Kluyveromyces lactis: one gene and its partners. The protein of the gene in region 1 interacts with the protein of each later gene in a pairwise test. Links are inferred from orthologs where the notes say so. Each region holds a gene or a part of one and is shown on either strand. Other genes may lie near its edges. The genes, in order: SAS10, NOP19 and HCA4.

Region 1 (11,840 bases):
TCTTACTGCCTTCCCAGAAATCATTAATCCCTTCAAAGACATACTAAACGTGGCTGCCGAAGTATATCCTGGTACTTCTAAACCAAAACAATTAGTGGAAAAGATCGAAAAGCTATTGAAATTCCAAGAACGTCTGCCATTGACGTTGCAACAGCATAAACCACTGGCGATTCCATCAAATACGCCTAAATTCGAAGAGAACTTCAACCCAGATAAGAAGTCGTATGATCCAGATAAGACCAGAAGTGAGTTGAACAAGATGAAGGCGCAATTGAAGAAGGAACGTAAGTTCACTATGAAAGAAATACGTAAAGACACTAGATTCGAGGCAAGACAAGGCATTGAAGAAAAGAAGAAGGAGTACGCCGATTACCATTCCAAGATGGCACGTATTGTCAATCAAATCAGTACTGAAGAAGGTGCTGAGAAAAACAAATATGAGCGTGAAAAGAAGCTCCGTAATACCAAACGTTAACTGCATATTATATAATCTATACTCAACATTAATAAACTTTATCATCGATTGCGATCTGATTTTTTGTAATATTGGTTTAATAGGCCCATAACACCATTTCCCGCCTTCAGTTCGTCAGCATTATCAGCAATATCATCCTTAAAAAGGGTAGATTTGTTGATAAGTGAACCACTCAATGAGCCTAATTCAAGGTCCGAACTACGATCCGGGAATCTCTTCACCCTTGATCGATTAAGATTTCTCTTACGATTGGAGTTTTTACCTAAGGCAAATTGTGTCTTCCAGGAATAGTCTTTAGTAGAGCTGTATGGGTGATAAGATGGCTCGATTGGAGAAGCTGGTAGCTGATTTTTGCCCACTGCATTGCCTGCATTCTTGTAATCGTCAACGAAGTACATATATGACTGAAGCATTTTGTTAACACCCTCATCCGATTCGGTTTCACTATCATCCTGTTCTGCTTGGGAAAACATTCTCTTAGTTTGTTTTTTGGCCTTGGTACCTTTGTCAATTTTAGTAGCTTCAAACATTGCGTACTTACACACGTATCCCAACCCCTCCTCATAGACGGTACATTCTCTAAAAAAATCTATTATTCTTTCTGAATTCTTTGGCAGGGAGAACCATAATATGAAGGGAGTGATTATAATGCTGACTAGTTCCCTTAGTAATAATGTGATTCTCAAGTTGTAAAGCCTACAAAACTCATTTTTGATGTCCTCTGTATGATATTTCCCCTTCCATTCCTTTGGAGCGTAGTGTGTATACGACACAAGTTCCTCCAGTGTTTCCTCTGGTTTGAGAACCGTATACTCATCGTTGATAGAACTGTGACAAACTGCCCATAAAGTACCAAAAACAGTCATGTAAAATAAAACAGTTCTGTCAGGTGTAATTTCGAAGTTTAAGAAATTGTCTGGATCAAATATTGTCAGAATACCCAAGATTGCCACAAAAGAACCGGAAACAAACTGTATAAAGCTTAAGGTCAAGCTTAATAATGTATTGGGAAATTGATTGACATAATTGTCCGCTATTATCATGCTCAATCTCATTCTTTTTTGGAAAATATGATATAATTCATTGTATTCCCTAAATTTCCATTCAGCAATAGGAGTATATTGCCGAGAACCTATTGATCCTGGGGAGGTTTTGTACTCATTAAAATATCTGAAGAAGTTCAATAGAACAAAGTATGTTACTAAGAATGGGGATAAGATAATGTTCAAGAATCCAGCAAGAACAAACCTCTTCTTTAACTCCTCTCCCAGGTATTCTCTCTGGCTTTCTCTTAAGAAAGCTTGCTTTAAATAGCCCTTCTCATTGAATGCAAAACCTAAAATACAAAGATTTATGTTCCATTCGAGCGTCTTGGTAAGAGCACATGTTCTTAGTAGAGGTACTGGTAGGGATAAGTCAAGAATATTGTTATCATATAGTGCAATGACAAAATTCTCTTTGCGCATAATTCGATTAGCCACGTCATGCGCACTCAACCTGTTTTTTGCTTTGACTTCGGTAGCATTTGCTGTGATCGCATTCTGATCCTTAAGTAATACTAGTTGTTGAATCACACTTTGCCATGGAATAGTTTGTAAATCTTTATCTGATATGCTTAAAAGGTAGTTGTAAAAGTTTCGGATGTCCTTCAATGCTTTCACATCAAAATACAATTGTAGAACTTTAAGCCCTATGAAGGCGTAAAATATCCATAGAAATACCTTTGCAGTTGGAGAGATCTGTGTCTTATAACATTGTTCAATATGAATTTCTTCAAAAGTATGAGACGATGACAACCTTGAATAATCTATGCAATGGCCCATGTAAGTTGAAATGAATACCACAAACAAGATTGTAGCTAGATGAATAACCTTCTCTGTGATGATACAGTAGAATCCGTTCCCTAGGTAATATTCGTACACCTGCTGCAAAAAAGTGTCTAAATTTTCGATATTTGCCCATTTCCATAAAGCTCGTTCCTTTGGACTAAGTGAAGATAAGCTGTTCTTTGAAGTGCTTGTCAAAGTAGAAATATTGTTAAATATTGGAGGAGGTTTCAAATTGAAATGAGTTGATTTACCTGGTCCTGATTGTTCTGCGACTGATGGCTTTCGGAAGAGAAAACTCTCCTCAAGATTATTCGGCCTTCCGTTATTGCGAAACATCTTTGCAGGGCTATTCCCTAACAATCTTTCGAATACCCTGCTTTCCGAAGGGTTCTTGGTTGACTTAGTTGCTCCTGTAATGGGGTTTTTACCACCTAGATTCAGTCGTTGTCTACCTATGAAAGGTATCGTTTCGTCAGATCCTCTATTACTGTCACGATTTGATAATGGCTCCTCGTCTTCGCTGCTTGAAGGCTGTCCGTATTTCGAAACAGAGCTTGCCAAGTCTTGATCGCTGAAATCCTCTTCTTCTAAGTGCACTTCATCTTCTTCTGTACCTCCCTCATCGGGCTCTGATTCCGATTGTATTGTTGCCATCCCATCAGATGCTGTATCAAATCTTATGGATTGTGGCTGTTGTATTAGCGGCTCCTCATCATTGCTGTCCTCGTTAGATGAAGATGGTTCCTGATCGGATTCTATTAGCCTCACATTACCTTCATCCTCGGCATAGTTACTAAAATCCTGTTCCGTAGGCATAGTAATATGGCTCATCTCAGCGGCATCCAAAGAGTTTTCTACAGCAGATGAGTGCACACCAAACACTCTTGATAGAAATGTGTTCTTGGATCCACCATTTACTTTATCCTGACTATCCGTCATAACTCAGACTTCCAAAATTTTATTGATCCAAACTTTTCAAGTTGATTCAATCAACTGACTAAATACCGTGAGAGGTAAGGTTATGGTTGTAGTGTCCTTTCGATTATACCTTGTTTTGTGTTTGTTGAAGTCATTTTTAAGGGAATCCTTGTATACATGAACAAGTTTTGTAATGGAGCCCTGCATATCCAAACATCAACTCGTACTTAATGACTATTCTGATTTCAGGAATTATAACCTGAAAAGGCGATGCATCTTTATTAGGTTACTATGCAGTAGCTGCTGATTGTGTTCGCAGTGGTATTTGAATCTCCCATTCTTGATGTAGTTGTCTACATTAAATTAATGTTATCATACGAATTGATTTGCTGAGCTTTTTCTTCAACTATCATGTACATGCAGAAATCTATATAATTAGATATGTGGTGTTACAATCGCTCTTCCGTCGATTTGGCCTAGTAGCTCCGCTTCTTCTCCCTCCAAATCTAGTGTAACCACGTCTTGCAAAAATGTAGACTCTGCGCCCCTGCTGATATCCATTACGACGTCCCCGATCTTGATTGACATTTTGCCGGATCGATGCATTCTAATTGAACCAACGTTTCCGATCAAAGGCTCAGGTGAATCTATTTGTGTTTCTTTGCTGTTTTTACTATTTGATTGTTCACTTCCTTCATCTACTTTTGCTTCACCATTTGGCTTTACATCTTCTTCGGTGGATTTCACTGGGGGTTGTGGCTGAAATTCAGGTAGATTTGATGGGAACTGGAAGAACATAAACTTATTTGGAACGTCGTTAATCTTGTTTAACTTTTTGTACATATGTTTATGATCCTCAAATAACAAATTTGTTTCCCTGAGAGCTTCTGCGCTGTCAACAGATTGGAAATCTTGTTGAAGTTGAAGCAAACGCAGTTTTTCTTTTAACTGCTGTTCCTTCTCGTTCACTATGTCATTTAAAGTACCATCCGATTGTTCTGGTTCTAGCTTCACAGGTCCTGGTGTTGGTTCCCTGGTCTGCAAAGTTGACATGGATTCCTGGACAACTTTCTGTAGAGAATCCACCTTTTCGTGATTGATACGAACTGCCCTGACAGGGAAAAGATTGGCCAATTGTTTAGAGGCTCTGGTCTCTTCACTCATGGCTGCATCAGTATTAGAATCCTCATCTTCATCAAACAGATCGTCAGTTTCCTTCTTGAAGTCTGCCTCTGTATACTCTTTCCCCATGTTAATTCTCTTCCCAGCTTTTGAATCTTCTGCGTCCGATCCCTCTGCTTCATCATCAGAAACAGCTTTCAAACCGCGTTGCACAAGACTGCTTTGAGAACCCTCCGTCTTAATGAATCCATTATTCCCTTTATTAGATCCTCCAGAGAAATTACCAGCTGCCAATGGGCCTGATGTGATAATTCTTGTGTTGTTTAAATACTTCGGCTGCCTCTTCTGGTTGCCCTGTGGTTTCTGTGTATATTTCTTCTTCTCAACCTGTTTATTCGGCTCTTCTACCTTCAGAACGTTAGCATCTCGTTCCTCCTTAGATTTACGAGCTACCACTTTGGGCTTAAACTTCAGCGAGGTTCCGGTTGATGGTTTCCCCTGGTTCAATCCAGGTAAACGTCCACTCATCTTTAGTTGATTCCTATCACAATTTGATGCAAATAACTTCTTGACTCAAGCGTTTAATACTGCGATTCTCGACCGTTTCTTCGTTCAACAGCAAATCCTAATATGAAAACGAAGACTAGTTACTGGATACTAACCCTTGCATTGACTATTTGCGCATCAACTTTGCTCATCTCATTGTGATCTCTTCCAGTAGTAGTGCAGCTTTCAATTTTGGTGAAAAATCTTGAAAAAGCAATGTTGGAAAATTTTGTTTAAAGTTAAAGCTCATCTCATCTCATCTCAATTCAGAGAATAGGTATAACTAAGAGAATGACAAGCTGCATAACAGGTAACTACTATCAGCCGCTGTAATCGACTGTATATTGAGTTGGACTTAAATTGTACTGGACATTGTACTTCAAATATGGCAAAGAGAGGTGCAAAGGTCTCAAAAAGAGGGTCTAATCGTAGACAAGACCAGGAAGAAGATGTTGCCTATGGCATGAATGAGGTCGATGACTTTGCAAACAAGAGAGAAAAAGTGCTACTTGAGGACGCAGGTCTTGATCAAAGGGAACCAGAAGATGATTTTGATCTTTCAGTGGATGAAGAAGAAGAAGTGATGGGAATGTCAGATGAAGATAGTGAGGATGAAAGTGAAGAAGTTGAAGATGATGAAAGTGAACAAGAAGAATTAACAGGTGAAGCTGTGTATAAGAAGGTTTTTGGTAGGAAATTAGACGTTGGTGAGAATGCAGAAGAAGAGAGTGGTACTATGCTGGACAATGAGAACGCATGGGGTGCTTCTAAGGCAGAATACTACGGTGCCGATGACTTGGACGATGAAGAGACTGCAAGAGAGATAGAAAAGGAAGCTTTGCGCCAACAGAAGAAACATTTGGAAGACCTTCATATGGAAGACTATCTTGAGGATGAAGTTGATGAAGAATGGGTAAAAGAAGCTAAGGAATTCGATTTAGGTCAATTTAAAGATCAAAAGGATCAAGAACGTCCTACTGAAATCTCCCTTAGGGATGTTCTCAACATGGACTTAGAGAGAAAGGAAGGTTTCTTGAAGACATCCTTCCCAGAATACCTTCCTTTATCAAAGGAATTCAGTAAATTATCACCCGTTTTAGACGAGCTGAAACTCAAACAAACTGAGGAGAATAATGAATTGATTCAGATCAAAATTATGGCATTATCTTCATATCTTGGAACAATTAGTTCATATTTTGCAGTTTTCTTATATGAATTACAGAATAACGAAGATTTCATTTCTATGAAAGATCATCCGGTAATGGAGCGTATTTTGGAGTGTAAAGAAATTTGGAGACAAGCTAGCGAACTACCGGACACAGAAGCAATACGCTTTGAGCAAGACTCTGACGCTGAAGAAAATATTTCGGATATTGGTGAACTTGATGAAGAACTATTACAAGAACAGGATGAACTGGACAGTGAAGCAAGTGCCAGTGACGATGAGGCAGAAGATGAGAATGAGGACGAGGAGGGTGATATGGAAAGCGAAGAAGAAGAAAACTTTGATATCGAACTTTCGAACAGAGCTGCAAACAAAGTTCAGAAAGACAGGATATTACAAGACGTTGATGACTTTGTTGAAGATGAGATTGCAGATGTTGATGTCCAAGAAAAGAAAACAAGGAAGAAGACGTTACGTTTCTACACTTCCAAAATCGATCAAAAGGCTAGTAAGAAGACTGATAGATTCAAAGGTGATGACGATATTCCCTACAAAGAAAGACTTTACGAAAGACAACAGAGGCTACTTGAAGAAGCTAGAAAACGTGGCTTGCATGATAAAAATGCGGCAGATCTTAATACGGATGATATCAACTCGGATGATGAAAAGACTGCCAAAGACATTAAACGTGATGCCGAGAATGAATATTACAAGAGCATCAGGGCTGATAGACAACACAAGAAAGATTCCCGTCTTCAAGCACACAAAGAGGTGGCGAAAGCTGCTAAGGAAGGAAAATTGGCTGAATTGGCCGAACACATTACAGAAGATGGTAAACGTGCAATCAACTATCAAATTCTAAAGAATAAGGGTCTAACACCAAGAAGGAAGAAGGACAACAGAAATTCGCGTGTCAAAAAGAGAAAGAAGTACGAAAAAGCTCAAAAGAAGCTCAAATCTGTGCGTGCTGTCTACTCTGGTGGTCAATCTGGTGCGTATGAAGGTGAAAAGACTGGTATTAAGAAGAATCTAACGAAGTCTGTGAAATTTAAAAATTAGTACTAGATGATATTTAGTGTATCTATATACTCCATGCATTAAAAAAAAACTCGCATTATTCATTCGTGTAATATTTTGCTTTCTGAGTACTCACGAATTAGCAGCTTTGTCCAGCATCCAATATTCTTTGTAGTTTTCTCCGTATTGCATGCTGTATCTTGTCAGAATGGATGGACTCAAGATCAAGATCCCATGCTACAAACTCTTTCGCAATATCCTGGTCAATTCTAAATTGGTTCAATTCTTCGATAGTTAGTTTGCTGTAGTTCTTAGCAATGTCAAATCCATCTGCTATCTGAGTTGTAAGTTCTTGTGCTCTTTGGACAATGCTCTGCCTTAAGCCACAGTTTTTGGCACAGAATATACCAAAAGAGTTCGTGGCAATTCCGGTGCTCAATTTGTACAAAAAGGTAATCATTTCATCTCTGGCATTTCCTTTATTTTCCTTTTCCATCACCTGCAATAAAATCTCGGTTTTATAGAATACTACACCATTAATTTCACTAGTAAGGATGTTTGGACTGAAAACTTCGTTATAATGAGTAGATGCGATCACTCTAGGGCAAGACGAGCTCCTTGAAAAGTCCTTTATAATTGCTCCGAACATAGATAGGCCGTCAATCACATCTGTCCCTTTACCAAACTCATCAATCAAAAGTAAGCTTCTCGGCGTTGCCAATGACAAACACTTGGACATTTGATTTGCATCAATCTCAAATGTACTCTGCGTCTTTGCTACAGATTCCCGAGTCACTACTCTGGTCAATATTTTGTCCACGAGACCAATACGTGCATTATCAGCAGGAACGAAACAACCAATATGAGCAAGAAACACTATAAGTCCGTTCTGCGTTAAAAAAACAGATTTACCAGACGCATTAGCGCCAGTAATGACAGAAATTCTTTTGAAATTATTATTCCAAGTATCATTATCAAAAGTTCCGCCAAGCATGCGAAGGTCATTGGGGATGTATGTGTCTACAAGTGTTTCATATAAGGGGTGCCGGCCGTTTTCAATTTCAATTACACATTCCTTTTCCTCAATGACAGGCTGGACATAATTTTGGCTAATGGCGGTCTTAGCAAATGAGACTAAAACCTCGAGCTCTGCGAAACATTTTCCTGACAGCAAAATTGCTGGCTTTGTATTCAAGACTGCATTTTGTAGTTCAAGTAGGATCTCCAACTCTAAATCGGATATTATTCCATGAAGGTCACCATAGTGTTCGTCCATAACTTTCGTATCATCATTCTTGTAATATATTACATTCTGTTCTCTGAAAATTTCAGTCCAGTATAGCACAGCTGGATCGAACATATCTTCTATGGATGCATCAACACATAGTAAATAACCAAGTTGTGGTAGATATATCGCATTTATCAAAGCATTTCGTCCGTTCAATTTTTTAAAAAGCTTCTCCTCATTACTCTGCAATGTTGATATTAGTGTATTGTTTGCCTCATTTGCCACAAGATTTAAAACACCTTCAAGCTCGAAGTAAGTTCCTCTTGCCTCATCTAGTTCTATACGAACTTTATCCTTTATAACAATCGCATCTTGGTTAAGGGACCCCTCCAAATCAAGAACACTTTCGGTTTTCTTTAATATCTTCAACATCATGCTTTTATCAAGGTCATTTTTTATGGTGTTAAATAACCGGCAATTATCTGAAGAATCGTAGAGAATATGGATTAAGTTTATGATCTCGACAGTTTTGGTACAGAAAGAAATATATTTTCTCCACACTGAGAGTTTTACTGCGCCTTTGCTCATTTCATTTACAATGCTGAATATATTAGGCATGTACTTTAGAGAATTTGAAAGATCGTCGAATAATATCGCATTCTTGCCGTCAATTAGAGATCGTATCACCTTTTGTCTCTCTTCTATTAATATTTTATTAGATAGTGGACTGGCTAACCAGGATTTTAGCAATCTTTTACCAAGTTCTGAAGTAGTGTGATTGAGCAAATCAAACACAGATGAATAGCCGGTTTTTGTTATTTCACAAAAATGTCCTGGTATCTGGATGGGTTTAAAAATATGTAAAGCCGCCAGAGTATCATCATCAAGAAAGAGCCGATCCTTCAACATTAATTGTCTCACTATATTGACCTTTTCGAAAAAATTAAACATCTCACATTCGTCAAAATCAACGGCGGAGAAATGATCCATAGATTTTATCAAGCAGCTCAATGACATGGTTGTCACTTTAGCGGCTTTGTTTGTACCCAATTGGTCCAAGATCTGAAATCCTTGAATATCTATCAATTGTTGGGACTCTTGAAAGTTGTTCCAATGTTGAACAAAATATTCTACTTTAAATTTGTCATGGGACTGCATCTGCAATCTAAAACTGCGCTCGATTGACAAAAATTTGAGGTTTTCATAAATCACTTCCCCTAACCTGCTTGAACACAACACTACGCTAGGTTCATTTTCAAGTATCAAATTTTCTAGAATCAAGTTCACTTCATTCATATTTTCTGAACTTCTGGCATTAACAATAATGTCCTGATTTAGAACCGATAAAGTCTCTTGATTTATGTCCAATAGAGATATTCCAAGCTTGGACTGCTGTAGTTCCAAGCAGAATACTACTTCATTTTCCCAATTAATGCTTTGCTCATGCATGGTTTCATCTGCATATTTTTCCAATACATTTCTGTTTTCACCTTCGGCGGGTATTTCGGTAGCATTGCTATCCTGTATATTCCCAATACCTGGAATTAGTTCAGAATCGACCGACCGATCAATAAATAACGGACGTTTAGCCGTGACTGGCATTGTTGATGGTGATTGGTCTTGAATAATTGCCTGTACCGTTTCTTCCCTTCGTTTTCTTCGCTCTGTCAATAAACAGTGCAGTTTAGTTTTGAAAGTAAAACTGAATAATCTCATTCTTTTCACTTTTAAAGTAAATTTGTGCTGGAAATGAAATTTAAACGAAATATAACATTAGATAAAGAAGTGAATTGACACTTTTTCTTTGCTTTCTTTGAGTTAAGTACTATCTAGATGTGTCGGGAAGGCGTATGAGTAATGATTAGCCGCTCTCTTTTTGTCGAATTTATTTCTGTTCCAACCGACTCTCGGCCATTGAAATCCACTTCGCTACTACAAAAGCAGATTTCCTATGGCGACTCCTCGAGTACTTATCGAATATTGCTTTGTGACGTTCTGTTGCATGTCTGCATGAATCCAAAATCATTGTTGCCAACGGTATTAATTGCTCTTCTGTGTAACCGGAATAATATATGTGTTCGTCAGACCAACCTGTGAGTCCGATAATGATTTTACTCAAGTAATATGCACCTGCAGCAAGCCAAGATGGTGGCGCTGCTATTATTTCTGGCTCCATTATGGAAGTTTCCAATAAATATTTAGCCACGGTTCTTGTATCGTATTCATAATCATCCGCTTTACTAACTCTTCTTAAAAATGACATTGGACCTGGCCATCCAAATTCGAAATTTAACGTATTGATCATGAATCTTTCTGCCCTTAGAATCTCTTCTCTAGTGTATGCATTGTCCAGCATATACAGCATATCTTTCAAAGTTGGACAGTTGATCTCCTCGTATTTGGAAGCAATGAATAGAGCTGCTGCACCGACTAATTGCAACCTGTTCAAAGTGACTTGTTTCTTTGATAAAAACCTATCGATAATGTTTACCGTTAAAAATAACGTCTCAGGTAACAACTGGAACCTATCGTGGACTTGAACAATCCAATCGATCAACGTTGATCTGTATTTCCACGTTAGTTCCGGTTGATGTTCGATATACCTGGGATTCGGCGAAAATTTCCTCTCCAAAAACTTCAAATGTTCAAAAATTTCAATGGTATATTCCGATACCATAACAGGGTCCCATGTGTCCTCATCGTTAGGGTCAGGCTCCTCACGGTGTAACCTCTCATACACATATTGATATAACCTCTCTGAATGTTCCGTTACCACCGGCACTAACGGCGTAAAACTTTCATCTACGTCTTCCATTTCCTCACTTATATCTCCGCCTGTTTCTGCTTCTTCATCTTCTTTAAAAGCTAGTGCCTCACTATCAGTCTCCGCATCATCCTCATCATCTGCTTCAACCTCAATCAAATGGTGTTGTACTGTTTCGTTACTATTGCTAGACAATTGTTGCGACCGTATACTCTCAGTACTCACAGAAGAAACAAGAGTCTGTTCTCGTAGTTTTTGAGCCCGTGCTACTACTAAATCATCGTCATGACCACTAAACAAATCATTCTCCTTCGCATTCTTTACCCTTTTCTCCTTCAAGAATCCAGCATCAACAAACGCTTTCTTGCTGTCACCGTCAACACTAAACCGATTGGCCCTATTGTTAATCTGTGAAGTAACATCACCAAGTGCTACCCTTTGCTGCATTTGCATCATCAATCAAAGACGCGGACTGAAGAACAATTAAAAAAAGAACACAATAAGCACAAATCTTTATTCAAAGCCAAGTATTCAATTCCTGGATGAATATCCCTTCCTTAGTAACTAAATATGAATTCAGAAGAAAAGTAGAAAACTCGATGTTATACCAAACTAAATCGAACCGATATAAAGGTACAATGGCTCTATAACATAACGATACGACCTCTAGCAGAGAATCCAAAACTTATTTGTATCCTCCAAATTTGATATATTATGTATGAAGAGTGAAGTTTTCCTGATGAAATCTTTAAAAGAGAAAAATGTTCAAATCGAGG
Region 2 (9,248 bases), on another chromosome or scaffold:
TTCCACCAACAACAGTCAACGGTTTCCGTACCACGGCCATAGAAAGATGTGAACGATCGTAAACTAAACGAGCAATATATTCTTTGGGCATCTTAGGCAATTGCTTTTGAAAGATATTCTTTAACCCTGTTAAAACCATCATATTTTCCTTGCTATTATCATTATTAACCACTCTGAATTCAATCTTTCCTTCCTTCTCTTCTATTACACTAGGTCTGTCTTTATAACTGTATTCTTGACCATCAAAGTCAAATTTTGTTGTGCCGGCCTCTTCATCAACGACCTCATTTTCAACTATAGGAGATGTATCCGTCTTTTCATTTGCTTCTTCCTCTAATTGTTTCTCTTCAGCCTTGGTAGTTGTACTACTGGCATTGTAGTCATTGACTGGTGATTCAACGACCTCTTCATTCGTTGTAACTGATTCGATTTTGTCTTCCACTGTTTTTACGGATTCCCCCGCAACTTTTGTTTCAGAAGTTCCGTTCTGTGCATCTATAGGTCCGTCCTCTTCCTTCTGGTCTTCCTTCTGGTCTTCCTTGCTCGTCTTGTGTTCTAAATCATCGGTAACATCTTCATCAACTGCAGATCCGCCATCGATTTCAGTTTCCACAGGCTCATCTTTGGGTTTGATTTCCTCTTTTACAGTGTCAACTTTTCCCCTCTTATTCTGGACTCTTCCAGCACCATGGTGGCGTCTCTTCGGTGGCATTTGGTGCTTAGCTTCTTGTCTACGTGTGACTATTTATCTTGTCTACGTGTGACTATTTATCCTGTCTACTCGACCTAATATATATTCCCGTTCTTGTATGCTTTGGTAATTTTTCAAGTTGATTTATACATCCGTACACCACAGTCGGATAACGAGTTTAGTCTACATCTAAAACATGCCTGGTATAAGCTGATGGATCACGGAAAAAGGCCCAGTTATGTAGGTGTACCAAGCCCGTCATGGCGTAATACGCTGCAAATTGTGCAAGACTTATATTTATCTTGGGAATTATAAAACTAAATTTCATCCTGACCGTTAAATCAGAGATAAACACCTTTTCCTAACGACGAATATCGATTTCTACGCTTCATCACAAAAGGAATGCATGTCACATCATTCCACGCATCAGCCTGTCAGATGCACTGGCTATACTTCACTCTATTGACAATTCCTCGTCGTCATCAAAGGAAATATCTTCTTGAATTGCCAATTCAGCCTCCTCTTGCACCTTCGACAGTCCACTTAATTGCTCCACACACTTATAATCATCTAGCGCCTGTTTCACGAAATTCCATCCGTTTTCCTTTAGAGTTAAAATGACATTTTCATTGCTTGCACAACAGTGCTGATATGCCGGTGTTTCAAGTTTTACAGTTTTAAATTCATTTAGAAATCCTCGTATTTGATGCGGAGCTGACCCAAGCACGTTCGTCGAAGGCTGAAGATATGTCACCAATAATTCAACAGCCTGGGAAGCCGCTAATAGGGCAACACCCGGTCTAGTTACAGTACACATCTGATCTAATGTTCTGTCAGTTAGAGAATCACTTGGGGCCACGATATCGTTACAGAAATAGCAACCCAGGTTGTCATTATTGTTGCCATGTCTCATTACCAAATAACTGTCAAAACCAAGGGCCGCATTAATAACTATTTTTTCATGCATTCGTCCAAGCACCGAGGGAAGCCATCTCGTCTCGCGTGCATCCATTAAAAGAAATATAACATCATGCGTCCTTATAAGCTCGTCCAAAATTTCATAATCCTTCCTCTGCTTGCTTTCGTTCGATACAGGATGTCCTATCATTGGTATTTCCAATTGATAACCTGCAGAAACGACAGAAGGAAATATCTTCTTCAGAGAGTCACTGGCAGCTTCGGCCTTTGGTCGCCCACAATCTTCAAAGTTGAATAATGGTTGCCTTACCGGATTAGAGAAAGAGACAGTGCTGTTGTCGACAAAAGTTACATGACGAGTACCCCAAGCTAATAAAGCTCTAGCCACGTAGCAACCTAGGGTACCTGACCCCAAGATCAATGCTTTAATGTTCTTTATTCTTTCTAGATCAATGTCAGGAGCAATCCTCCATTTCATTAGCTTGAGATTGAGATCAATGGATTGTTCTGCTATCTTCACGGGATCCATCAATGAGCTTAAGTCAGCCGATTTCGGAGCTAATTTTCCAAGACCATTTTTCTCCCAACCGCTGACCTTAAGACATCCTGTATTGCTCCCGGTAACTCTGATCTCTGCCGCGAAGCTGGAATTATCATCACGAAGGAAACATATGGTGTACGTATTCCTTGTGGATATTTGACTCCAAACCGTTAGAAAGTTCTTAGTAACTGCGGCAGGAATGCCCTTCAGCCGACTGAAGTCCTTGAAGATGACTTTCTGACATACTTTGAGATACTGAGGTGATGCTTCCTGAATCTTTCCATCCACAACACAGGAGATAAAGCTGTTCTGCTCCCATATATCCTTCTTTACACCATCTTCGATTGATTTTGTTGAGATTATTTCGTACGATGACCCCTCAGACTGGAAAGTAGGCATACAAACCCAATAATAAAACTTATATTTCTTCAAATCGGCGAAGCTTATGACATAAAACCTAACACACTCTTTGAGACCATTCTTGAGGCCCTGTTCTAGTAATTGCTGTCCCTTTTCCTTGATAAACTTTACTTTGTCACAGGATTTGAATGATTCGATAGTATTAAAATTCAACACTGACCCTTTCAAAGTCACTGCCTCATTATTGAGAACAGGATCGAAACTGTCATCTCTAAGCGAGAGTGAAACAGTGTTAGAAGTGATATTTTCAAGGTCTAGTGCAGAGAACAATTCTTTCTCAGCAGAGTCTAACTTGAACACTTCAAGTTTTAATCTTGATAATTCATGGAAAAACGAGGTATCAACAAAAGACTTAAAAGCTGGTGAAAACTTAAGATCGTTAAGCATCTTTCCTGGTACTCAGGTTTTGTTCCATGAAGAAAGAATAGTACTTCTTGGTTTACTTTATTTATCTATGCACTGCAGTTAAGGGTATAGTGTATCAGGGTAGTATTACGAATCGACGTCTTTTTTACAAGAATGAACTAAACTCAGGAAAGCATTGTTACCCTGAAACATGCCAATTATTAATATTCACTAGTGTACACTATACAAGACGGCCATTGTATCATTGATCTAATGCAGATGATGAGTAAATTCAACTAACTTGCCTATCTCGTAAATATATATTGTAATTATTGTCCAAACAAGAAGAGACTAAACCAAATTCTATAGCATTTCTTCACCTTGTTGTTGATCTTCTAAAGTCATCTCATCCAACTCATCTAATAGTTCATCAATATCAATTTGTGGAGCATCTTCATCTTCATCTTCTTCCATCTCGCCTTCGTGCTCTGCTGGTTTGTTGCTCTTATATAGATTGATTGTTTGTCTCATTTCCTCATCTTCCTCCAATTCTTGTAGGAAAATCTCATAATCTCTTTCAGCACGTTCCATTTCTTGTTTCTGTTGTCTTGAAGTGTAGTCTTGAGAAGCTTCGATATCCTTGTGTTCCTTAGCCATTCTCTTCAACTTCCATTTTCTGTTCTTCTTTGTCTTTCTTTGATATAGTTTCTTGATTAGAACGATGTCTGGCACGTAATCAATATTTAAACCATCGAAGAGCTCTGAGTTATAGTTAGAGTTAGCGATAAAGTAACCCATGACACTGTCACCAGGATGAATAATACCACCAAGATGTGTTCTAACGTAATAGACTTGGTCATTGGAGCCTAGATCGGAAGATCTAGCGACAGTAACGTCAGCCAATACCCATTTGTTTCTAACTTGACCAGTAGGTTCAACGTCCAATATGATGAATTCAACTAGTTGGGACACTTCAGCTAATGCACTGAAAGGTTCACGCCAGTACATTGGAGCAGTCAAATCACACGTTTGAAGAGTGGTTGGATCCAGGAACTGGAGAGAGTTAGAAACCTTGGAACAGATGACAAATTGACTGATGTTACCCAAAGACTTGGCAAGCTTCTTAGGTAAAACAACCAAATCATCTCTACAAATTGGAACAATTTCCACGGAAAAAGTGAATTTGTAAGTAGATGAACCGGTATGGATATCTTGAGAGATTAACTCCTCGGATTTTTTACATTTGATAGGTACGACAGCATTTAAGAAATCCAACATCTTAGCAGCATGGTTCTTTTGAGAATAGAAGAAATCTAAACCATCCTTTGCCTCACTAATGGAAATGGTGTCAACATGGGCATTGTGCTTCAAAATCAACTGTTCTAAATACAAGAAAGTTCTCTTATGAGGAACTTTTTGTCTAATTTGGACGTTTGCTCTCCATGTATTAGTGGTATAAGATCTAGCACAGTCCGGACATTGCATGGCAATCACCACATATTCCACTTCAAATGTTTGCTGGATAATAGTGTTAGCCATAGCTTCACCTTGAACGGTCAATTTGACCCGGATACGTCTAGAATGAGGTTCGGTCCAGATAAATGATGCATCCACTAATCGAACTTTGTTTAAGCCTTTCAAACGACGTAAACACAACGCCAAAAGTTCACGAGATTCCAAAGAAGCCCTAATCCATTGGCTTGGTGGTTGCAAGAACCTCTCACAGTTTCTACAGAAAGAAACATTAGCCTCTCTGGGAATACCTTCTGTAATATCGACATTCAACTTAATACAGTCGTAACACATAACTAGCCCTGAGGACCCATCCATAGGCACACCACAACTGCAACATAGCACTGTAGCATGCTGATGTTGCATGTGATTCTGATCTAACGGAGTGTAATTCATCGAGTTCGGTGGATACTTCTGCCCTTGCTGGAATACCTATAATGCAGACATTAATCAGCTTTCAAGCACTATCAGACTGTGCAAGAACAAGATGCGATGAGATGAGCTTTCTCAAAATTTTTCTTAAAAGAGACTGCGAACCCTCAAGAAAAAGAAATTTTGCACGTGACTTTGAACCTTGGATTTATGCATCTATGCATATTAAGCTAGTCTATATACAGGAGAATTACACTTTATAAAGAATGATTAACACGTTCAACGTTTGGATTTCTTTCCAGCAAATAGCAAGCCAAATTGTTTCTTGGAATGTTTTTGTACTTTAGGTTCCATATCTTCTTCATCCGAGGAAGAGTCGGAATGCGATGAAGTCGATTTGGTATAATATTGGTTTTTACTGTGGTCTTTCGAAACATTTGTGCCTCTCGGAAGCTCGTTACGTATCTTCTGTCTTTCCTGATTCCTTATCTTATGTTTTAACGAAACCATAGCCTGGGAGTCGTCTTTCCTCACTCTGTGTATACTGTTTCTCTGTTGCACGTCCTTGGTAGCTCTTTTCTTTTTGGCTAAAGAGCTGACCTTCTTATCACTTTTGATGAACTCTCCAATGGTATGTATATCGGTATCATCAGTACTTTGCGCGTTCTCAAATGATAAACCGCTTCCTATTTGAATGACAGGCAACTGGAAAAATTCCTTCTTTGATTCGTTGCTATCCTCCTTTGCTAGATCATTAGATGACGTCTTAGAATCCTCTATCCATCCGAGCACCTTAGCAGTGGAACTGCTAAACCCATTTTGAAATTTAGCAAGTAGTGCTTGCTTTTCTTTTATCTCCTGAGCTCTTGACATGGCTTGGTGAGTCTGTATTACTTGTTAGATTGTAAGAGTATACCTTTATGGCGGCCGATGCATCTCATCTGGTTCGATCTCATCGCTTCAAAGAATAAGTTACCATTTTTTTTTCAGTGATTACTCTCTAAGGAAGAATCAGAATTCACGTGACTGATTTTTAAATGGAATATGTGGATAGGTCTATCAACTATGTGAGTTTATGTACGTCTATGAGTCTTTTCTTTGGATTCATTCTTTCTCTTTTGGAGTTTCCTTCTTTCACCAAAACCTTCTTTATCCATGGCCATGAGACTTTCTCTTTTTGCTGCTGTAACCTTAGTTAACGACTTCCTAATCACGGCTGTATCACCTACATCGGTGAACTCTTCCATCTTTTTATTAATCCTTTCCTCAATTGCCTCTACTCTTTGAATATCCTTTTCTGTTACAAAACATAGTGATTCACCATGGCGTCCGGCACGCGCTGTACGACCAGCTCTATGAATGAAAGTATCTGGGTTGCCAGGAATATCATAGTTTACAACAAGTTCAACAATAGGGATATCCAAACCTCTAGAAGCGACATCAGTAGCGATAAGAACTCTCGCAGCTTGTGCCCTGAATCTTTGTACAGAGTTCGTTCTTTCTTGTTGTGGCATTTGACTATGAAGTGACGTGACTCTTACATCTAAAGATTTCAAAGTTCTTCTTAAGATTTCAGCCGTTACGGTACGATTAACGAAAATAATGCAACTTGATTTGACGTATTTCTCACTGGTCAATATCTGGTATAAGTATGACTCTTTAACGTGCTCTGGGACTAGCAAATATGTCGTCTCTAATGTCTTCGGAATGGCGACGTTATCAACAGACTCAACCTCAAAAGTAAACACAGGAGGTTTGCCCTCCGTCTGTGGAGCGTCTGATAAAGCTTTCACTTGGTCTGTCATAGTAGCAGTGAAAAGGAGATTCTGTCTTTTGTTTTTCGGTGGTAAAATACTTACACATGTAGCAAGGTCCTTACTGAACGTTTCCGTCAATAATATATCGGCTTCATCTAGTACCAGAAATTTTACTCTTTTTAGCCCTCCAATGGTATCTTCCCCGCTATTCAGGACATGGTGTGCTAATCTACCTGGTGTGGCTATTATGAAATGTGGTCGTTTCTGTAATTCGATAGCTTGTTGCACTATGCTCTCACCACCAACTACTATTGCGACTCTGATGTTCATAGCACTTCCAAATGCTGTGAACTGCTCTGCGATCTGCATCGCAAGTTCTCTGGTAGGTGTTAAGACGATCCCAAACATACCTTGAGGGTCCTCGGACCATTTGGTCAACATCGGAGCTGCAAAAGCAATAGTCTTACCACTACCGGTGTTGGCACCACCTATACAGTCACGCCCTTTCAAAATCTCAGGAATACAAGCCTTTTGAATCGCAGTGGGCTGCACGATTTTCATCGCATTTAATGCTTCCACTAACCATTTTGAACATCCTAAGGACTTGAACTCAGAATTAGACATCTCTTAATATAGATATTATAGTTCTTAGGTACTCTTGGCGAGGTTTATATACAAGTTACTCCTACTAACCACAGCCTTTAGGTCAAAGCACATCTCATCGCATCTGTATAGAAATTTTACATGTTAAAGACTCTTTCCGTTTTCTTTTTTCATTCAAATATGCACCAATATGGGATTTTGGGGGCCCAAAATATTGGATTTCGGAACAATATTCGAACATCGGAACTTAGAAAAAGAAGTAGAGCATGACGTCCAGTAAGGATGTGCCGCTTATTCGTGTTATATCTACAGTTTACCAGCACATTGTGCCATTTTATGCAGGAGTACATCAATATTTTCTCCTTTGAGAGCACTTATTGGTACGACATCCCAGTTGTTTTCTTGGCATTGGGCTTGGATTTTCTGATACTTCTTAAATGTAGATTTCTCATCGATATCAGCTTTATTACAAACCACTAGAATATTCTTCAATGATACAACCTCTTTGCCACCCACTTCTTCAATAAGTATTTGTAAATCTTGAGATGGATCATCCTTTTCAAGACTGATCACGAAAACCCAACCTTTGGAACGTTCAATGTGTCTTAAAAATTCAAGACCCATTCCCTTGTCCTGAGAGGCATCTTTAATAATTCCCGGAATATCTGCAACTGTGAACTTCGGTTTGTCAATCCCAAGTGAGATTGTTCCAATCGTTGGGTGTAACGTAGTGAATTCCCAATGGCCTACTCTAGGAGTAGCATTAGAAATCTGGTTTAAAATAGTAGATTTCCCGGCATTTGGTAGTCCAACAAGTCCCAGATCAGCAATACTTTTCAATTCAAACATAAAATGTTGTTGAAGTCCACTCCTACCCTCTTTACAAAATCTTGGGTTTCTGATCAAGCTGGTTAAGAAATGCATATTACCTAGACCCCCTTTACCACCCTTTAGCAAACAGATTGGTTTCTCAGTTGGTTTACTCAAATCCAATCCATATAATGGGAATCTATCAGATTCAAGCTCCGTTTGTAGTAAGTTATGATCATATTCTGTTACATTTTTGGAAAGGTCTTGAAACCAGTCTTTTGATAAATGATATTCTTCATCTTTACCCTTAAAGATCCAACCTTTTCCAGGTTCGTAAGATTCTCTGAACATTTGAATACGGTTTGGTTTCTGATCCATGTAAAATCTGCCTGTACAATTCAAGATGATATTGGAAGTGTCCAATATGGTTCTCAATGATCCTCCTCCCTGTTCTTTAATTTTCTGGTCTACATGCTCTCTCACAACTTTGGGATCCAAGCACCATGTTACCACCGTCCCGACCGGAACTGTAATCATTACATCTTTACCTTTCGATCCATCTGCCTGAGCAGAAGTACCATTAGAACCATTATCTGCGATATATGTAGTCTGAAGTTTTGAGAGACTGTTAATTCCTTCTATGGCCTGAACGTACACAGACCCACCACCGCCCCCGTCTCCTCCATCTGGAGGACCAATGGCGCGCCCTCTATCTCTAAAAAACGAAATACATCCGTCACCGCCATTACCTGAAGCACACTTGATGATTCTCAAGTCAACAAAGTTCGACTGTTGAACTCGTATGTTCTTATTCTTTTGTAGGTATGATAGCTTGGTGAAGTTTGACAATGGCGATTTGATTTCGATGTATTGCGTATCTGGCGGCGTCGATATAATATTGAATGTAATCTTATTCCTTAATCCCTTCATTGGTTGAACAGAAGTCTTCTTCTCTTCCTTTATTGACAAGTTCTGAGTTGATTCGACGGCTGCTGTTGGAGCCTTTTGCTTAGATCGGCTGCTCGCTAGCTCTTGCAGCCATATCTCATTATCAATAGCGCCAGGTGCATTATCTGGTACATCTGAAAAAAACCTGCAGCGGTTGACTCTTGATATCCTTCTAAATATTGGCCGCCCTAACATCACTATAGCTCCGGTTCTTATTGACTTTCTACGGGTATCCATTTGTTCCTTTACCTGGTTGCATGTGTCAATTAACTTAAGTCGTATCTCATCGTCAACTCATCTTTATTTTGTTGAGTTTAAATAATGAACGTCA
Region 3 (11,840 bases), on another chromosome or scaffold:
TTTGGCTAAGGCTTCTGCATCTCAAGGCTCTACTTCAGGAGAGGGATTCGAAGATGAAGATGACGACGACTATTTTGATGACGAATTATAATCACCTTCAATACTCCGAAAACAATGGGAGACTATAAACTCAACTGAAAGAAAAAAAATAACGAATTCAACAATGCTTGTTTTCTTCCGTCCTGCGAATGAAGTCACATCCGAAAGCAAAACTTTAGTTTACTTTGCAATCTTTCAATTTCCAAATCTGTATTGTCTTGCGCATGTCATTTCTATATTTGACAAGCTCTGATGCTGACCCGTATGTCTGGAACAACACAACTGCGGAAAGTTCCATTGACTTGTACGCAACGAGAAGAATAAAGCAGCAAAAAAAAAAAAAAGAAAAAGTTCTTGTTTAACATATTTAAAACGAGTCCAACTACCTCTTCCATTCTCTAGCATACATCGATATTGATTTATCTTTTTCTCACATAGTTTTGTAATGTATAGAAATTACATTTCCGATTTTATAAAATACAAATAATATAAGGTTTCAAGAAATCGATTCTCAAGAAGGACTTGTACATGAAAAATACAAAAGAATAGATCATACGGCTAGGAAAATGAGCTCATAATCTGAATCATTTGGATCTTCAGATACGTGTATAATATCAGAGCTCTTTAACTCGATATACCGGGCGCTAGGAACGGCTGAATCATTCAAACACGTACCGTTGGAAGAATCAAGATCAATCAAGTATGGAATTAAAGATTCACCGACTTGTCGGAATTGTACGGCACAATGTTCTTTCGAACAGCTTTCCTCTTGGATTGGGATATCAGCAAGAATAATTTCCTCTCCATCAGATTCGAAGCGTCGTAGACTCTGACCTAATCCTCTACCGATAATATAGCAACTTTTATCATGCAACTTAGTTTTACTTACTTCACCCTTGACGCCCTTCCTATACACAACAAGCTCATAACGAATTTGATCCCACTTAGGTACTTTTAGCTTTTTATAGAAATCGTGGGGTGATATCGCATCTTTGGGCTCTACATGCTTAAGTTGTATGCCTTTTTTCTGGTGGCTTTCCAGTTCCAATAATCCTGATGGCTCAAATATAGGCAAGATTACTTTTTTTTGGGCACCTTCATAGCGGCTTCTTTTCGTTTCGTGATCGTATCGATATCTGCTACCTTCACGTTTGATGCTCATTCTTTTGGCGCCGTTGCTTCCATAGATGACGGTATATTCCATATATCTTACATATTTATTCCATATATTGTGCAATTCACAATATAAGGTTCATCTGTCATTTCATCGCTTTTCATGTTGTAGGAAAAAAGAAATAGAAAAGAAAATTTTTGGTAAATAGAAGAGCTCATCTCATCTCATCTCATCTAGATAGAGGTTCGAACCTCAACCTCAAGGAAAAGTAGTTTACTTTGTCTTTGAGCGGTATCATTAATCGACCTATAGAGAAGTTGATTAAAGTAGCAAACTGGTGCATTTAATCATTTAACTAAACGTTTAATCAACTGTGCCAATATAACTTATAATTGGTTTGCAAAGAGCATTTAAAGATGGCCAAGAAACAAAAGCATAATACCCAGCAGCGTAAGCTGATTCGTGAAAGAGACAGCCAGAAGATCAAAGATCTTGAAACTAAGGTTGAAGAATATAACCCGAAAATTGCTAAGGCTAATTTGTTTCAAGATTTACCCATTAGTGAACAAACTCTAAAAGGGTTGAAAGAAGCAGCATTTATCAAATTAACCGAGATTCAGCGCGAGTCCATACCTCTCTCCTTGAAAGGCCACGATGTATTAGGCGCTGCCAAGACAGGTTCTGGTAAGACTCTAGCATTTTTGATCCCTGTTATCGAAAAGTTATACAGAGAGAAGTGGACAGACATGGATGGGCTAGGTGCATTGATCATCTCCCCAACAAGAGAATTGGCCATGCAAATATATGAAGTGTTAAGTAAAATTGGTAAGCACACTACCTTCTCCGCCGGTTTGGTTATTGGTGGTAAAGATGTTACTTTTGAGAAAGAGAGAATTTCGAGAATTAACATTCTAATAGGAACACCAGGCAGAATCTTACAGCATATGGATCAAGCCGTTGGATTCAATACTTCAAATTTACAGTTGTTAGTACTCGATGAAGCCGACAGATGTCTAGATATGGGTTTCAAGAGAACCCTTGATGCCATTATTAATAATTTGCCTGCTTCAAGACAAACACTTTTGTTTTCAGCTACTCAATCACAAAGTTTGGATGACTTGGCTAGATTATCTTTGACAGATTACAAACAGGTAGGAACGATGGAAGTTTTAAATGCTAATAGTTCATCTGCGACTCCAGAATCTTTACAGCAGTCATATATCGAAGTGCCACTACCTGACAAACTTGACATTCTGTTCAGTTTCATAAAATCGCATTTAAAGTCTAAGTTAATTGTGTTTCTATCAAGCTCTAAACAGGTGCATTTTGTTTATGAAACTTTCAGGAAATTACAACCTGGTATATCTTTGATGCACTTGCATGGTAGACAAAAGCAAACGGCGAGAACTGAGACGCTGGATAAGTTCAGCAGAGCGCAACATGTCTGTCTATTCTCAACTGATGTGGTTGCTAGAGGTATTGATTTCCCATCTGTTGATTGGGTGATCCAGGTTGATTGTCCTGAGGATGTCGATACATATATCCACAGAGTTGGAAGAGCAGCCAGATTCGGTAAAGAAGGTAAGTCACTCATTATGTTAACACCAGAGGAAGAGGAGGGATTCTTGAAAAGATTAAAAACTAAAAACATTGAGCCCAGTAGACTAAATATCAAACAATCAAAAAAGAAATCTATCAAACCTCAGTTACAATCACTCCTTTTCAAAGATCCCGAATTGAAATATCTAGGCCAAAAGGCTTTCATTTCTTATGTTAGATCGATATACATTCAAAAAGACAAAGAAGTCTTCCATTTCGACAAAATACCATTGGAACAATTTGCTAACTCTTTAGGTTTACCAGGTGCTCCAAAGATCAAGATGAGGGGAATGAAATCGATAGAGAAGGCAAAGGAGTTGAAAAATACATCAAGACAGCTCCTAACCCTAGCAAAGGCAAATGATGAAGGTGATGTGATTAAAGAAAACAAACCTGAAGTGAGGACCAGATATGACAAGATGTTCGAACGGAAAAACCAAACTGTGCTAAGTGAGCACTATCTGAATGTCACCAAAGCACAAGCTCATGATGATGAGGATGAAGATTTCATCATGGTTAAACGTCAAGACCATGAGTTGAATGAAGCTGAATTACCTGAACTTCTTGTTCCAACATCTAAGAGAGCCCAAAAGAAAGCATTATCAAGGAAGGCAACATTAGCATCTAATGGTAACCCAACCAAAGTCAAATTTGACGATGATGGTAAAGCTCATCCTGTTTACGAATTAGAAGATGAACAAGATTTCCGTCAAAATGGTAACTCAGAGAAGCAAAAAGAAGAGTTCTTGTCTAAGGAGGCAGAGCTTATGGCAAAGGTTGATGTAGAAGATAAACAGGTTGCAAAAGAGAAAAGGCAAGAAAAGAAACGTAAGAGACTAGAAGCAATGAGAAAAGAAATGGAAGCTGATATGGAGGATAGTGATTATGAGGATGAACCAGTAGCATACCTTGGAACTGGGAACCTAAGTGACGATATGCAATCTGGAGCTGACACTGAAGACGATTCTCAAGATGAAAGGCAACCAAGAAAAAAGAGCAAATATGCTGATTCCAGTGAAGATGAGGAAGAGGAAGAAAGAACTACTGAACGTGATAGAATTATCGAAGTGGAAGAGCCACAGACTCTTGAAGATTTGGAATCTCTAACAGCAAATTTGATTGGATCTTAGATTCATCAACTGCTTGACTTATTTAATCATGTATAAAAATAGACGATAACCTTGCATTCCAATAATAGGATAACATCTCCCTTTTAGGATTACGACAATACACTTGAATAATTTATTGCCTCATCAAAGTAGCTCTGGCATTTACCGACTTGCTTCGTGATTCAAAGCATTTCACCCACAGACCTTCCAAAGATCAAAACGTTTAAAATGACATGTTACTTGAAGGGAAATTTCATTCAAAAAGTTTTGTTTTAAACCTGTTCTGCGAATGAAAAATTAAAATGAAATAAGAATAGCTTTTGTATGTGTAGTATTATAGAAAGAAGCAAAAGTTGTCGTTTCTAAACGATAAGAGTTCTATTCTATCCAAAGTTGGTGTCAAATATAAGAAAACCCCAATATACCTGTATTAGATAGGCTGTGATTAGTGAGGGTAGAATTTCGTGGGTTTTAGTTCCAATTACTACTCTGCAATGTCGAATCAAAGTGACTTAATTTTATCCAGACCGTATCTTACTAAATCACAACTACAGAAATCCCAGAAATATAACATTCCTGATCGCCGAACATATAACCAAAAGAGGATATTGGTGTTCAAATATTTATGCCAATTATGTGTTCACCTCAAATTACCAAGGAAAGTTTTGGAAGCGACAATGTACTTTTATCACAGATATCATGCATTCAATAAATTCGAGACCGAAATGTGTTATGATGTTGGAACGAGTTGTTTATTTTTAAGTTGTAAACAGGTTGAAACGTTTAAGAGATTAGGGGAGGTGTGCAGTACGGCATTAAAGATTCGTAATGTACCTCGTGTAACGCCGGATATGGTTGATGCTTTTAAAAAGAGAGTGATGCAAATGGAGCTACGAGTATTAGAAACTTGCTCCTTTGATTACAGAGTCAACAACGAAGTGCACATAGATGAGTTTATAGTCAAAATTGGCCGTGAACTCTCATTACCTTACAGCTGTTGTCGACTGGCATGGCTTATAGCCTTCGATGTATTAAAACTCGAATTGCTCATTACCGTCCCACCTCATACCATAGCATTGGCGGTATTGAAACTTGCATGTGAACTACTTAATGAAACAAAATGGCCCAATGTTCGATATAATTTATTTGAAACGGATGCGGCTTCTTTTCATGAAGCGTATTTCGATATTCTAAATTTTTATATCAATGTCTTCGATGCATGTGATTTAAAAGACCATGAAACTGTCAAATCTTTAAACCTAAAGATTGAAACATTCATTGAAATAAAAAAGACCGCTGGCCCTGAGCAGGGACTAAAGGTTGATCCAATAGCATTAGATAAAGACGATTACGTGTCAAAGGAACGGAACTTTGCTGTGAAAGAAAGAAGATATGTTTTGAACCAGAACTCTCTTCAAGAAGAATCGATATCTACCAAAAAAAGATCTATCAGTGAGGTTGAATGAGATCTTCATATTCATGTAATAATACAATCATTTCATAGAGCTCTTATTTGGTATAAATACCTATTTTTCCTCAAGGGATCGATAATTATCAACTTATCAAGATATTCTCTAGATTTTGATTTTATATCTTCCTTGAGGATATCTTTTTGAATGAACTCAATCACAAGTAGTGTCTTTAGACACCAAATATTATCCTTTCCAGAGAAACTAATATCATCATCGTTTATAAGTTCAATGATCTCGGTTAGTTCTTTTAGCATACTGCTATACTTTTCTGACGTCATATGCTCTTTTAGTGCACTCTCTTTAATAAACCAGATCAGATACGTCCAGACAGATTGATCTTCAGCATCAGTGAACATGGCATTCTTTATGTACTGAAATTCATCGTCGATGAAGGACTCTTTGTCAGCTATTTGATCTCTCGCCAGCATATGTTCAATTATATTCGTTCGTTGGAACCACGCGCTAAAGTTAGAGATATTTTGATTTATTTTCGCGGTTGTGTATTCAAACTCTTGTGAATTTAGACAGTTTCCGCTTAAGCGTTCTACTGTGCTTACGATGTATCTTCTGTAATGCCATCCATGGAAATTTCTCGCATCCATTTCCAGTAATTTGCCAACAATGGCTAATTCTTTCAACCAGATTTTCAAGGGAGAATTAGGATAATGCTCTAAACACCAAACCCTGTGATTCCATATCCAGTATACTTTTGGACGAACCTTCAATTTGTCCATAGTGAAAGCAAGTTCCCCATCCCAGAAAGTTTGATCCAGTGATGGGGCAAGTAGTTTTATAATTTCACGTCTATAATTCCAGATGGTGTTGAATTCTGGATTGATATTAAGTAACTGGGTAGTCTTCAGAAGAGAGTCCTTGTTTGCTACTCTTTTATTCTTCAATTCTAAAACCTCATCTGATAATTCTCGATAATCGAGGATTTCCTGTCTCTCCTTCTCGCGCTTCTTCCTTAATAACTCCTTTGTCCACTCTCTTCGTGTAACACCATGCTGAATTCATTTCAATTTGTAAATGTTAGTAATCTGCAATTGTATATTATGAGAATCTTCTTTGAAAAGAGTGCCGAGGTCTGCCATACCATTATTTGTCCTCGAGTCTCTGTGGAATTGAGTTTAACGTTCTGATTTGCTGTTCATCATAATCATAACTTATAAGTTTGAATGTTAATTATAAAAAATAGTAGTTTAAAATGAGCTCAATAACATATGTTTTTTGAACTTGCTTCGACGAACAAGGATTCAGAAGAGACTGGAAAGTAAAATTGGAAACATGGATTTGATATCATTAAAAGGTTCGACACGAATTGTTACTGAGTTCTTTGAATATAGTATAAATTCAATATTATATCAACGAGCAGTATACCCGGCAGAAGACTTCGCTACAGTTAAGAAGTATGATTTGAGCTTATTAAAAACACAAGATACAGAACTTAAACAATACATACGGGAAATTCTCCGGCAGGTTCATAGGTGGTTATTGGGAGGTAAATGTCACCAGCTTGTTCTGTGTATAGTAGATAAGGATGATGGTGAAACAATTGAAAGATGGAAGTTTAACGTAGATTCTCACAGCAACAAGAACGATACTGATGATGATATGAACATTCCATTAGAGGAAACCCAAAAGGAGATTCGGGCAGTACTTAGACAGATAACAGCCAGTGTCACTTTCTTGCCCGAATTGAAAAATGAAGGTAACTATACTTTCAATGTTTTGGCCTATACTGATAGTAATGCGAATGTTCCACTAGAATGGACAGATTCTGATTCAAAAGAAATAGCGAAGGGGGAATCTGTGCAATTCAAGTCTTTCGGTACATCGGCCTATTCAGTGGGAGCTGAAGTCACTTATAAGTTCTAACAAAATTAATGGCTGAACTTATTGCATTTCCTTTTAATACTTATGCTACAAATAGGAACAAGATATAGTAGAAAAGGCACATAATACTTAATTCAACTCGAGAAAGCTCATACTAATTCAATCATCTTGGTGTCTTTTCCAAACTTCTATCCAAATCTTGAGATGTTCAATTAGCTTTTGTCTTAAGAGTCCTTCGCATTCTTCCTGCATAAATGGGAAAAGGTTGGACAATAAGCACGTTTTGAACAACTTTAATTTTGACACGGCTGCCATATCAACCCTCAACTCTTCTTTAACTCTAAGAAGAGCAGTAAAATCGAGTTTAATGTTGTCTGACTCTGCTGCTATTTGGATTATATCCTGAATTATTGCTATTTCATTTGCTAGATTTACGGTGTATCCATTATCCAATTTGACTGAGAGATATGTCAGCCTATCATAAAGCGGTTCGGCCACAAACTCAGGTATATCAAGTTCTTTTACTATTTGAAACTCTTTGCGCTCTTCAGCTAATTCATCAAAAATATCGTAAACTTGTTTTGGGTCAAACGTATCATTCAAATCGGTTCTGATCAATTCCACAGGAAACATCAGAGCAAAATGTGATTCACCAACAACATCTATAAACATATCAATTTCCTTAAACTCAGCATCTGTAAGCGTGCTTTCAGCTATAGTGAAAAAAATCATTATGTAGAAGAATGGAATCATTGCATGAGGATACCAGGTCTGATTTCAAAATAAAGTCGATAGCCGAACCAACTTGTGCGGCACATTTTGTCATATAATCAGATATATTGTAAGTGCTCAGGTTAACTGATATATCTTAATATTCATAAGTAAATAATATCTTCGAGTTTTCTGTGTCATTTTGACTTGACGCATTGACATGCCTCGAAAATGTTAAAAAAAGCCTATTTAAACTGATAAATCTGCTACAGAGGTAAAGGTAGTATTACAAGTAGTGTTGCTGTTTCGTTGGTCAAACTGCGTGTGGAAGCTTCTCTACAGAAGCAGTTAGCCCTTCTTGAAAAAAAAACTGGAGTTTGACATAAGGTTTTTTATCTCATTCAATTTATGTCCAGGAATCTTAGGGGATGGAGACCCAGTGGGTGGACTAGGGGAGGACTGTATAGCTACGGATAAATCAGGACGTGGAACAGGTTTAATCTTGAGGTCTTCCTCCAAAAATGTTTTCCATGATGGATCTGATACCCTCGATAGATTGTAAATAAAGTTTTGTAGTTCTCTAGGGTTGAAAATAAGGTCATCTGGTTTCATCGGTTGAGTATCATCATCTGATTGTTGAAATTCTGACCATACTCTTTTCCAAAGTGCCAAATCCCAAGGTACACCTTTTAGCGCTAGTATAAATGCCCAGAAATTTGAGTTTGTATTCTGACTTGCGGTTATTGCATAATAGGTTTCCAAGTATGTTGTATCAGGGTCAATAGGAGAGACAAGTAACTTTAAAAGATGCATTAGTTTTTCCACATTACTATCTATGTGTTTCGTGACTCTTTTAGCTGATGTGTCATGTTGCGGTAAACTTTCCGGAAGTGAATGCAACGTTGTCTTCAATAGTTGAACGTCTAACAATAATTGTTCTGCGATATTTATCACTTGCTTCACATCGAACTGTCTTTTCGAATTAAGAGTGCCATATGGTAAAGCTGGTTTCAAGAGCTTTATAATTTGAGATTCAAAAGAGATAGCTATTAAATCAATAGTTTTATCAATAAAATTCCAACCATAAAGATCTCTATTGAATTGAGAAACAGTGGAGTAAAATGTTGAATTTTCCGATCTTGTTGGTAGGAGGATACTCTGTAAGGTAGTCACATATCTGCTGTAATCTTCCACCATTGTATTAGCCCAATTTGTGTTTGTGAACTCCCTCCATACAAATTCCAAATCTTTCTTCAGGATGCGATTTAGTAGTAAATTGATACCACCCGATACGAGATCCATGTATTTTTGCCTTGTAGGTTCAAAAATGGCTGCAACTTTGTTGATATTTGGCTCATCATTCTCAAGATATTCACAGAGTTTATCTTGCAATTGATCAATTGTATTTGCGCAATAGTCTGCTGTATTGACAAGAAGAACGGTATATTTCACTACTTCATTCTTATCATCGATTTGTGTATCCTCAGGTAACAACAATGGTTTCAAAATCTTTTCATAATATTCATTCAACCATTTGACGAAGAAAACCGCCAATTCCACCATTATGGTCGATTTATTACCGCCTTCTATCAAGCTGAAAGTTTGAGAAAGAATGTGTCTATAAGTTCTAAACAAGTCTGCACTGGATGGAACGACAAGCGATTCATTTTTAGCTGGGAGCTTGGTCTCATTAAGATATGTCAACATCTTGGCGTTCAAAGATGAATCTTGGTGTCTAACCCATAATTTCAAATATGGCTCAAAGCAAGTGGATATTTTACCCTCGTATATATGGGAAAACTTCACTGATATGTATTTTTCAAACTCTAAGGTAGTTTGTAACGATTGCATGAATAGGTCAATGGAGGTGGTACCGGACAAATCTCTCTTCAATAATGTTTTCAAATCGTTAGACGTCATTGTGAAGAAAGAATCCGTTAGTTTCAAAGGTATCTCCCATTCTGATGGGAAATATTCGCTGAAAGTAGACTGGAAATTATTTAATACTTTTTTGAAGAAGATGTAACGTCTAGACAAATTCTCCAAAGAACCAGCTTCATCATCAATTTGGAAGATTTCTTTAATTTCATACAATAGAGAATCCAAACACAATTGCACAATCCTTTCTTTATAATGCTTATTAGTGTCCGCAAGGCAACATATACCGTCTTTCATCGTTTTGCTGTCATATTTACTGTTAGACCCATCCCTAAGCACTTCTTTCGTTACTCTCTCACACACCAATAGTGTATCACTCTCTAAACGATGAATTTGATTTAGAAACTTACAAAACTCATCCAAAGATTTATATTCGTGGAAAGATACAGATAAGGAATGCATAACTTTAAAGGGGCCGCACATTTCAATGTATTTTTCAGCTTGCATGTACTTTTTAGAGTTCACGTATGCATCACTCAAGATCTTCAAATTTTCAAAGCACGTCATCGATCTCGTTATATTCCTCTTAGCGTTATCCAAATCTGAAATATCATGTGTCAAGTCGGATATGGTTGCTTCAGTAATCTGTGACAGAGACTTCGTTGAATTTATCTTCTCAAACAACTTGTGGAAATCATAATTGTCTTCTAAACTATTGACTTCTGAACTGGTGTTATTGCTTTCTCGTACCCGCTCCTCTAAATTAAATTTACATTTTTCGGTTAATAGCACTAGGTTATCAATATCTGATAAAGATTCCTGCTTCGAGAATATCTGTTGAAGATCGTGTAAGGGATCGTATTCCAAAGATTCTGAAATCATTACTTGTTAAGTTCTAGTTATTCAATTCAAATTAATGTGCGTGATACTAATACAGGAAACAATAATGGGGAGGAGCTGGATAGAGAAGGGAGAATTATACCTCTGCAACTTACAATTGCTGGCTCTTTTTGTCATTTACTGATGATACAACAAAGGTTCTTGTTATATTTGTTTCTGTATGCAATAATTACTATGAAAGTCTGATATCAGAAATATCGAAAAAAAATACAAAGTCTTTAAAAGGTGAATTGACAGTTCCAAACCCTTTAACTATGAAAAAAATAATGCTCCAGGGGAGGTTCGAACTCTCGACCTTCAGATTATGAGACTGACGCTCTTCCGACTGAGCTACTGAAGCAATTCCTTTGAGTAGCTTCATTGACACTGTACATATACCAGAACGATGTAATCTTCGCACTGCATAATATATTATTGCTCAACGAGTTACAGTGTGTAGCCAACGATGCTGCTCTTACAAACATATGTTTTGCATATGGCAGAACAACAGAGTAAGTGCCTTCCTGAGCTATATATTGAAATGGTTTGATTTGCCAGGATCAGCGAAGTTTTAAGATACATAACTCTATTCTGCTATGATTATTCCTAGGATGTTGACGTGGATGCATCCATCACCCAGCTACATACCTATTCTTTAGAGTAAGATGATAGTACTTTCAGATCTCCAGAAACACACATGTACACATGCCTTATTCAGACACTTTGTCCCTAGTAACTATTGGCTAAAGCATTCCCATATTTTCTGCATATCTCTCAATACTGAAAAAAAAAAATGCTAAAGTATCTTTTAACAACATAGTTGAAATATAGAAAACAGTGCGTGAACAAAGGTGGCGAAGACGAAACTTGTACGTGGAAAAGCTATACCTTGGAAGGAAAGCAGATAATTCACAAATCCTTGAAAAGCAGCATGTCTTTGAAACTTCCTCAAAATCCTAATGCGGGATTGTTCAAGCAAGGGTACAATTCGTACTCTAATGCTGATGGTCAAATCAATAAATCGATCGCTGCCATTAGAGAGATTCACCAGATGTGTTTAACTTCTATGGGGCCATGCGGCAGAAACAAGATCATCATTAATCATTTGGGAAAGCACATTGTGACCAACGATGCTGCTACCATGCTAAGGGAATTAGAGATTGTCCATCCTGCTGTTAAAGTGTTGGTGATGGCATCTGAACA

Evidence for each region.
Region 2: the proteins of SAS10 (region 1) and NOP19 interact in binary tests that used the Saccharomyces cerevisiae proteins (3 or more experiments, as listed by UniProt). The link is inferred for Kluyveromyces lactis from reciprocal best matches to the Saccharomyces cerevisiae genes SAS10 and NOP19.
Region 3: the proteins of SAS10 (region 1) and HCA4 interact in binary tests that used the Saccharomyces cerevisiae proteins (3 or more experiments, as listed by UniProt). The link is inferred for Kluyveromyces lactis from reciprocal best matches to the Saccharomyces cerevisiae genes SAS10 and HCA4.

What each region holds. Positions count from the first base shown.
Region 1 is NC_006039.1:1,429,790-1,441,629, forward strand, and holds SAS10 (rRNA-processing protein SAS10), read left to right. Parts: upstream 1-5,275; coding exon 5,276-7,114; downstream 7,115-11,840. Other genes in the region: snoRNA-binding rRNA-processing protein NOP14, read left to right, coding at 1-475; autophagy protein ATG9, read right to left, coding at 517-3,243; RPC53 (DNA-directed RNA polymerase III subunit C53), read right to left, coding at 3,658-4,872; MutS family protein MSH5, read right to left, coding at 7,212-10,016; KLLA0_C16445g (cyclin family protein), read right to left, coding at 10,186-11,520. UniProt on the Saccharomyces cerevisiae protein: Primarily required at the G2/M phase. Essential for viability: involved in nucleolar processing of pre-18S ribosomal RNA as part of the ribosomal small subunit (SSU) processome.
Region 2 is NC_006037.1:456,295-465,542, forward strand, and holds NOP19 (Nop19p), read right to left. Parts: upstream 5,673-9,248; coding exon 5,079-5,672; downstream 1-5,078. Other genes in the region: histone acetyltransferase GCN5, read right to left, coding at 1-712; ATG7 (Atg7p), read right to left, coding at 1,146-2,957; ribosome-binding protein NMD3, read right to left, coding at 3,279-4,823; ATP-dependent RNA helicase DBP8, read right to left, coding at 5,873-7,180; putative GTPase MTG2, read right to left, coding at 7,466-9,154.
Region 3 is NC_006040.1:793,825-805,664, reverse strand, and holds HCA4 (RNA-dependent ATPase HCA4), read left to right. Parts: upstream 1-1,569; coding exon 1,570-3,882; downstream 3,883-11,840. Other genes in the region: PML1 (Pml1p), read right to left, coding at 590-1,243; CTK2 (Ctk2p), read left to right, coding at 4,356-5,327; Rab geranylgeranyltransferase BET4, read right to left, coding at 5,360-6,340, 6,430-6,432; spindle checkpoint protein MAD2, read left to right, coding at 6,621-7,211; KLLA0_D09416g (uncharacterized protein), read right to left, coding at 7,329-7,922; VPS53 (Vps53p), read right to left, coding at 8,229-10,640; chaperonin-containing T-complex subunit CCT8, read left to right, coding at 11,569-11,840. UniProt on the Saccharomyces cerevisiae protein: ATP-dependent RNA helicase required for ribosome biogenesis. Involved in the release of U14 snoRNA in pre-ribosomal complexes. Required for pre-rRNA cleavage at site A2.